2 linked regions of the Caenorhabditis elegans genome follow. The protein of the gene in region 1 purifies or fractionates together with the protein of each later gene. This does not show direct contact. Each region holds a gene or a part of one and is shown on either strand. Other genes may lie near its edges.

Region 1 (3,334 bases):
TTAGGATTTGCAGCTATTTTTGAAATCAATAATTTTGATGTCATTGAATAACAGACAAAAATTGTGTTTCGAACTATACTCTCATTGGAGACAATTCAGAAACGATTCAGAAAAAAAAACCTTCCATCAGAATTAGTGTGACAAGAGGTTCTTACTCATATCCTAAATTAACAAGGATAACTTTTTTGATTCCTCAACTTTCAAACTTTTTCATCTGATTTTCTATTGAGTGTTCTGTCTACCAGTGCTCTTATCTGAAAACAGCTTTTAAGATAATGCGTCAGCTGGCAGAAACGCTTTTAATTTTGCTTCCTGTTTGTTAACTTATTTTTGAAACGTTTTACTTCGAAAAGAGTTAATTTTTTGGTTTGTTTGTAAATTTGAAAAAATCATTTAATGTTTATTATGAGCGTATTACAAATGTTCGTAAAAGTTATTATTATTATCACTCCACAATTTCCGTTTGTAAAATGAATAATTGAATTTTTTTTTCCAATATACATCAAACAAAATTGTGAAAAAATTGCTTTAACGAAATTGAAGCATAAACAATAGTTCTAATTCCAATTACAACAATTTGTGTAAATCAAATGTTTCCTCTGAAAACTTCAAACAGTAAACCATTAATGTTTTGAAAAGTACGATGATGGTCTGGAAAACGCGCTTTGAAAATTTGTTACAACACGTTAGAATCACAAGTTCAGATTAGCTGTCGCCTCTAAAAATCAATTGTTGAACAATGTCTTCTTCAATTTTTTGATAATCAGCAAGCACAACTACTAGAAACAAAATATACAATTTTAAAGTTGGCAAAGAAACATTGGATACAATTTTCCAGTCGCTTGGCATTTTTGTTGAACATAATTTCAATTTTTCGAAAAATTTATGTTTTGTAATGTTTTATTTTGATTTCCATACTTATGAAGTAGTAAAGATTTCTACTGGGCTCATGAGATACAAAACAATCTGAACATTCAATTTTTTATCTTCGGAAAAGTTCTTGCTAGAAAAACAATAAAAACCACTTATAAACATTCCTTTCAATTGTTCTCTTTTTACGAACTTGTTAATTTGTCTTCAGCCATTAGAAACAATATTCGATGTTACATGTTTTCATTCAACATTCAAAGTTATATTCTTTCTAATTCCTATTTTGTGTTAATGGGCCACCCTCAGTGCAACTCTGATCATTCATCTCCCAAAAATCCCTAGATTCCCTGCTCTCCACCCTCGCTTTTCTGCGCGCAGCAAAAAGCCTACCACCTTAACTTTTACCTGCTTTTGAGAGAGATGTACTTGAGAAAATATTCGAAGCCAAACAGTTGGCTTTTCCAAAAATTCTCTCCCCCATGCGTTGCCGCAACTCTGTAGATATTTGCGTTTGTCGTTTCTTCACAAACAGATATTGCGTATATCTTCCCGGCCGTGTGAGGGTGATCAGAAAGTCTGAGATCCCCAAAGAGAGCACAGACACGGCGCACGGATCACGGGCACTGCTCTTTCTAGCGCTCTTTGTGTCGAGCTTCTGCTTGGGACACATTATCTCTGCTGGCAAAACTGATCGCTGCCCGCTGTGTTACACTCTATCTCAAACGGCATCCCGGGAATCTGCCACCCTCCACCAATTGCCTACTAACTTTGCCCGCCGTGGAGAGAGCACCTCCTCTCGGTCTCTTTTCGTATCACATTCCTCCCATCCAGCTACTCCTCCTTCCCATACGCCTACCAACCAACCATTATTATCTCAATGCTCTCGACAAGATCGGGACTTGGAAAAGGCTTCTTCTTCATACTTTTCATGGGTGCATTTTTAATTTTAATTTGTTCGTTTCCCAAGCAATTTACTTCTATCATTGTTTCGACAATTTTGTGTGCTACCTGTAAACAAATAACTGAGTTTCAGGTAGAGAACCTTTTCCAACATGTCCAAGGCCGCCAAGAAGAAGTCCTCAAAGAAGCGCTCGGGATCCGAGGCCGCCCAATTCGACCAGAAGACCATCCAGGAGTTCAAGGAGGCCTTCGGAATCATGGATCAGAACAAGGACGGAATCATCGACAAGGTTAGCTTTTTTTAAGTTTTAAAATGATACTAATGAACAATTTTTAGTCTGACCTCAAGGATCTCTACGCATCCATGGGACAAATCGCCCCAGACAGCCAGATCGACGCCATGATCAAGGAGGCATCCGGACCAATCAACTTCACCGTCTTCCTCACCCTTTTCGGGGAGAGATTGACAGGTAGGCTTTTCAGATTTTCTAATGGAATTCAATTCATTATTGCAATAATTTCAGGAACTGACCCAGAGGCCACCATTGTTGGAGCTTTTGCTATGTTCGATAAGAAGGACTGCGGAAAGATCAAGGAGGACGACCTTATCAAGATCCTTCAAAACAAGAGAGGAGAGCCATTAGACGAGGATGAGGTCAAGGCTATGTACAAGGTAAATTCATTCTTTCTGAAATCATTGAAACTTACCAATTCCTCTTCTTTCAGGGAAAGCCACCAATCGAGGGAGGAGAGGTTGACTACAAGGCATTCGCTCACCTCATCACCACCGGAGCCCAAGACGAGCTCGCCAGCGCCTAAACATCCGGCAATTGCACACAAATCTTACATTCTTTCAAATAATACTTTCTCATTTATTTCTCCAATTATAATCTTTCAATGGATTAGTGCAATAAATGGTGGTGATAAAATTAGTTGATACCAATGACTTCTAATGTTATTTTATAAAAAGGCTAATAGGTATTGGGGAAAAAAGTGATGAATAGTTTGAAAAAGAAATGCGAGAGGTGGAAAAGGCAACAAATCTGTACTGGGTGTCTATCACAATTGGAACAAATCTTAATGAGAAAATATGTTTCAATAAGGTTCATTACAGAGTTACCAGATGTCTGATAACCCGAGCTACGTTGAATTTTAAAAGTAAAATAGTTAGAAGATTACTTTTGATTCAATAACTGCATTGAAATTTACATTTGATTAAGATATCCCACGGTAAATAATTGATGATCATCACAATAATAACAATAGAATTTACAAGGTCTCGAATCATTCCATCATGTCCTCTTGAGGTGGATCAGGCACTGGAGATGGATGTGTCCCACTGCTACTTGGTCCTTCCACAAATGACATCACAGCGAGTTGCCGATGGAATGGATCCATTGGTTGCGCGGAGACTTCCATCGCGGCTTCTGCTTCAGTAAGTGGCCGCACTCGAATGATAACCCAGATTGATTCTGAAAATGTGGAAACATTAAAATTATGAGGTTTCTGAAGTAGCTGAATAATATTTAAGTCTTTGAAGAAATTCGATTAGTTTCAAAAAAAT
Region 2 (4,998 bases), on another chromosome or scaffold:
TGGATGCTCCAAGCGCTCCCACATGCCTTCAAACTCCTAGGCGCCTGGAGATAGTGTTGCAATCAAGGAGAGCGCGAGACGAAGAATCAGTTGTTACTTTTGTCTGGGTCTCTAGGGGTTTCGTGATATTCCCGTGTTGTCTTACAGCATCCGCGAATTGTTTTCGTCAGGATGAAGTATGAGATTGTGGGATTTGGAGAGAAGCTGATTTGCTGGAGAAGCACAAAAATCTGAAGAAAATGTTTGAAGAAGATAAAGCAAACGGAAAGACTATCCAGTTACATACATACTATCATGAGAATGATTTATGAGCCTTTTCGTAAATTTTTAGACAGATACTATTATCAGGAGACCTTTTAAAGCAAACGCGACAACTTCATAGTAGTTACCAAGGCTCGAAAAATTGATTGGTGCAACTTGAAGTTCGAATGAGTAGAATTGATAAGTATTACAGGTGCCTCCAAATCGATTGTCCGCCACAATGATATACCTCGAATCCATCTGATCAAAATTATTACTGTAGCATTGAATCGCAGTACCGTAATCAAATATTAAATATTTTTGCCCCCCTCTCCTCTACGTATCAATAAAAATAGTCTTAAAACTTACTTCGACTCCAAAGTAGGTTAGTATCAATTTTGCAGACTTTATTTGTAATGCATTTCTAACAAGGAAATTTTTACATTTTACCCTCAAACTTCAAAATGAGACATGTTTCATCTGAAGTGTTTTAGATTATGTCACGAAAGGTATGTCACTGCAAAATTTTAAGCAGCAATACTTTTCTCTCAACCCCTAAAATATCGATCTGAAATTGTCTCATTTAACCACTACTTTAGAGACCTGCATAATTGCTCTAAATGCTTTTTTGCAAACTTTGAAAGTTTTTCAGGAAGTGTAGGTAAACACTCCGGGAGGTTTTTAAAGAATTGTGATTTTTTTGGAGAATTGGTCTAAAAATTTTTTTGATTTTTTTTTTGAAAGAATTGTTATAACAATTTTCTTGATTTTTTTGCAAAAAAAATTAAAGGAAAACTGCACTGAAACAATTTCAGATCAACAATTTTAGGGTTGATATTAGAGCTTTGCCGCTTAGAATACTGCAGTGAGTATTTTCGGTTTTCACTGGTCTCTGTAAAAAGAGTAATGCAAAGGCAAGTTAACTAGGTCGTAAATGTATTGATTTGCTTAAAATCTGAAGATCTAGTGGTGAACCGTGGAAGATTATCAAGAGGAGGCTGAAGATCTGTTTAAGAACCATTAATCAAACTGGTATTCTATTTTCACTGGTTGTATGTAAACATTCTATCTTATTCCTTTTATCACTGTTCTGCACTTTCCTATAAAAAAAGTTGACCGACCGTACTCTCTGAATTCATTTTTCCCGATCTTACCAACTCCCGATCTATCTCTATCCCTGGTTTTTTCTTCGTGCTCCAATGGAATTCTTGAGACTTCCACTATCTTCTCTGGCACCCTCCACTACGCGTAGGCGTCTCTCGCTTCGTGTATTCCCGGGAAGCCGGGTTCCCGTCTCTCCCGCCGCTGCCGCTGCCGCACACAGCTTTACACCTCGTAGAATCCCCAAAGAGGGGCGTGGCTTGCGGGTGCCAACATCCTCCTGCCGAGGAAGAAGCAGGCACTCATCACTCGCATCATCAACCTCGACTAAGGGAGCACCACATTAGTTTTGAGGTAGAGAAACCATTTGAAAGAAGCGAGAAATCATGGAGCACGAGAAGGACCCAGGATGGCAATATCTCCGCCGTACCAGAGAGCAGGTTTTGGAGGTGAGTATTTATTTTTTATTTATTTATTTTTCTTTCATTTGTCTTTATTGTTATGCTCATTTCTATAGAGTAAATCGTATAGTACTCCATAAGTATCTAATTTTAACAAAACTGAGCATTTATTTTTGAAATTCTAGATTTTTAACATACAACTGAGTTAAAGTCTGCCATTTTACACTTATAGATTTTTTAAATTCAGGTAGAAGATTTGAGCTTGCCTTGTAATCCTTGTAATCAATGTTTATTTCTGTTTTCTAATTTTTCATAGATTTAGCTTCAAGATCATCTTTCCCTTGAAATCATTGAAATCTTCCTTTCTTAAATTTTTGCATTGCACTTGGAATTTTGTGACACATTGTGCTGCAGTAGTACTGTATTTTGAGACGGCACATTTATTTTGACTACACCACAAGCTTAACCTTGATTTTACTTTTTGATTCCATTCCATTCATGGGTCTAAAGTGTGAAGCGGTTTAGACCATTTTTCAACACAAGTTGGTATTCTTTAGAAGTGATATATTTCTGAATTCTGATCTCTTTTGTACCATTATTGTAATTTCAGGATCAATCTAAGCCTTATGACTCCAAGAAGAACGTCTGGATCCCAGATCCAGAAGAGGGATACCTTGCCGGAGAAATCACCGCCACCAAGGGAGACCAGGTCACCATCGTCACCGCTCGCGGAAATGAGGTTCGTTTTTAAGCTAATGATTACGGTTTTCAATGTAGTGTGATTCAGGTCACCCTCAAGAAGGAGTTGGTTCAAGAAATGAATCCACCAAAGTTCGAGAAGACCGAAGACATGTCCAACTTGTCTTTCCTCAACGACGCCTCTGTCCTCCATAACTTGCGTTCCCGTTACGCTGCTATGCTCATCTACGTAAGTTTCATTGAAACTTAAAGTTAAGCATTGAGAATCATTCATATTCTTCTTCTAAATTCCCATAAAATCCCGAAACTCCTTCCCTCTATCTTCTTTTCTTCTCGTTTTCAAATGTTTCTCTCTATCCCATTCTCTCATCAATTGAGTGGGATGAGGCTATCTCTGCCTCTCTTCTGAATCTCTGAACCATCTTACATTACACTGTGGATGACGGGAGCCCCACAGGCTCCCTTGCATCAGATACTGCCATTGGGGATGGCAAAGAAGAGAGAAGGTATTGTGAGGATATATTTTTCTAAGAAAAAACGTTTGAAGAAAAGAAGATGAAGAAGATCTGCTTGATTCATTGCACAAGTTAGAAGTAACAGGGGTCTATATTTCGAAGAACTTAAAGGGAATGCAACTGAACATAAAATTAAACAAAGGGATTGAATCCTGCAGTATTTAAAAATCGAAACTAGAATGTTTCCTATTTCAGACCTACTCCGGACTTTTCTGCGTTGTCATCAACCCATACAAGCGTCTCCCAATCTACACCGACTCTTGCGCCCGTATGTTCATGGGAAAGAGAAAGACAGAAATGCCACCACATTTGTTCGCTGTCTCTGACGAAGCCTACCGTAACATGCTCCAAGACCACGAGAACCAGTCTATGCTCATTACCGGAGAATCTGGAGCCGGAAAGACTGAGAACACCAAGAAGGTTATTTGCTACTTCGCCGCTGTCGGTGCCTCCCAACAGGAAGGTGGAGCTGAAGTTGATCCAAATAAGAAGAAGGTCACCCTTGAGGACCAAATCGTCCAGACCAATCCAGTACTTGAAGCCTTCGGTAACGCCAAGACTGTCCGTAACAACAACTCATCCCGTTTCGGAAAGTTCATCCGTATCCACTTCAACAAGCACGGACGCCTCGCATCTTGCGATATCGAGCATTGTGAGTTACTTTTTGATTTATATTCTAGCATAGCTCAATAAAAATTATGCAACTATTGTTTTAAACTATAAATTTTGCAGACTTGCTCGAGAAATCTCGTGTCATCCGTCAAGCTCCAGGAGAGCGTTGCTACCACATCTTCTACCAAATCTACTCTGACTTCCGTCCAGAGCTCAAGAAGGAACTTCTTCTTGACTTGCCAATCAAGGATTACTGGTTCGTCGCCCAGGCCGAGTTGATCATTGACGGAATCGATGACGTCGAAGAGTTCCAACTTACTGATGAAGCTTTCGACATCCTCAACTTCTCTGCCGTCGAGAAGCAGGATTGCTACCGCCTCATGTCCGCTCACATGCACATGGGTAACATGAAGTTCAAGCAACGCCCACGTGAAGAGCAAGCTGAGCCAGATGGTACCGATGAGGCCGAGAAGGCATCCAACATGTACGGAATCGGATGCGAGGAGTTCCTCAAGGCTTTGACCAAGCCACGTGTCAAGGTCGGAACCGAATGGGTATCCAAGGGACAGAACTGCGAACAAGTCAATTGGGCTGTCGGAGCCATGGCCAAGGGTCTCTACTCCCGTGTGTTCAACTGGCTTGTCAAGAAGTGTAACCTCACTCTGGATCAAAAGGGTATTGATCGTGATTATTTCATCGGTGTGCTCGATATCGCCGGTTTCGAAATCTTCGACTTCAACTCCTTCGAGCAGTTGTGGATTAACTTCGTAAACGAGAAGCTCCAACAATTCTTCAACCATCACATGTTCGTCCTTGAACAGGAAGAATACGCCCGTGAGGGTATTCAATGGGTCTTCATCGATTTCGGACTTGATTTGCAAGCGTGTATCGAACTTATTGAGAAGGTAAGATTGAATTGAAATTTTAAATGTATTTTGATCAATTCTTATTTTTCAGCCACTCGGTATTATCTCCATGCTTGATGAAGAGTGTATCGTACCAAAGGCTACTGATTTGACCCTCGCTTCCAAGCTTGTCGATCAACATCTTGGCAAGCATCCAAACTTCGAGAAGCCAAAGCCACCAAAGGGAAAGCAAGGAGAAGCTCACTTCGCCATGCGGCACTACGCCGGAACTGTGCGTTACAACTGCTTGAACTGGCTCGAGAAGAACAAGGACCCCCTCAACGACACCGTTGTCTCGGCAATGAAACAATCCAAGGGAAACGATCTTCTCGTCGAGATCTGGCAAGACTACACCACCCAGGAAGAGGCCGCCGCTAAGGCCAAGGAGGGAGGTGGCGGTGGAAAGAAGAAGGGAAAGTCCGGATCTTTCATGACCGTCTCTATGCTCTACAGAGAGTCTCTCAACAACTTGATGACTATGCTCAACAAGACTCACCCACATTTCATCCGTTGTATCATCCCCAA

What was found.
Region 2: the proteins of mlc-2 (region 1) and unc-54 purify together in Caenorhabditis elegans (affinity purification with mass spectrometry; 2 studies listed by BioGRID, with this or other methods). This does not show direct contact.

What each region holds. Positions count from the first base shown.
Region 1 is NC_003284.9:17,455,156-17,458,489, reverse strand, and holds mlc-2 (Myosin regulatory light chain 2), read left to right. Parts: upstream 1-1,903; 5' UTR 1,904-1,922; coding exon 1,923-2,060; intron 2,061-2,107; coding exon 2,108-2,240; intron 2,241-2,294; coding exon 2,295-2,443; intron 2,444-2,496; coding exon 2,497-2,589; 3' UTR 2,590-2,698; downstream 2,699-3,334. Other genes in the region: C36E6.2 (Nbr1 FW domain-containing protein), read right to left, coding at 3,055-3,242.
Region 2 is NC_003279.8:14,860,180-14,865,177, reverse strand, and holds the start of unc-54 (Myosin-4), read left to right. Parts: upstream 1-1,695; 5' UTR 1,696-1,727; coding exon 1,728-1,790; intron 1,791-2,352; coding exon 2,353-2,481; intron 2,482-2,529; coding exon 2,530-2,670; intron 2,671-3,151; coding exon 3,152-3,608; intron 3,609-3,688; coding exon 3,689-4,473; intron 4,474-4,525; coding exon 4,526-4,998. UniProt on the Caenorhabditis elegans protein: Required for muscle contraction.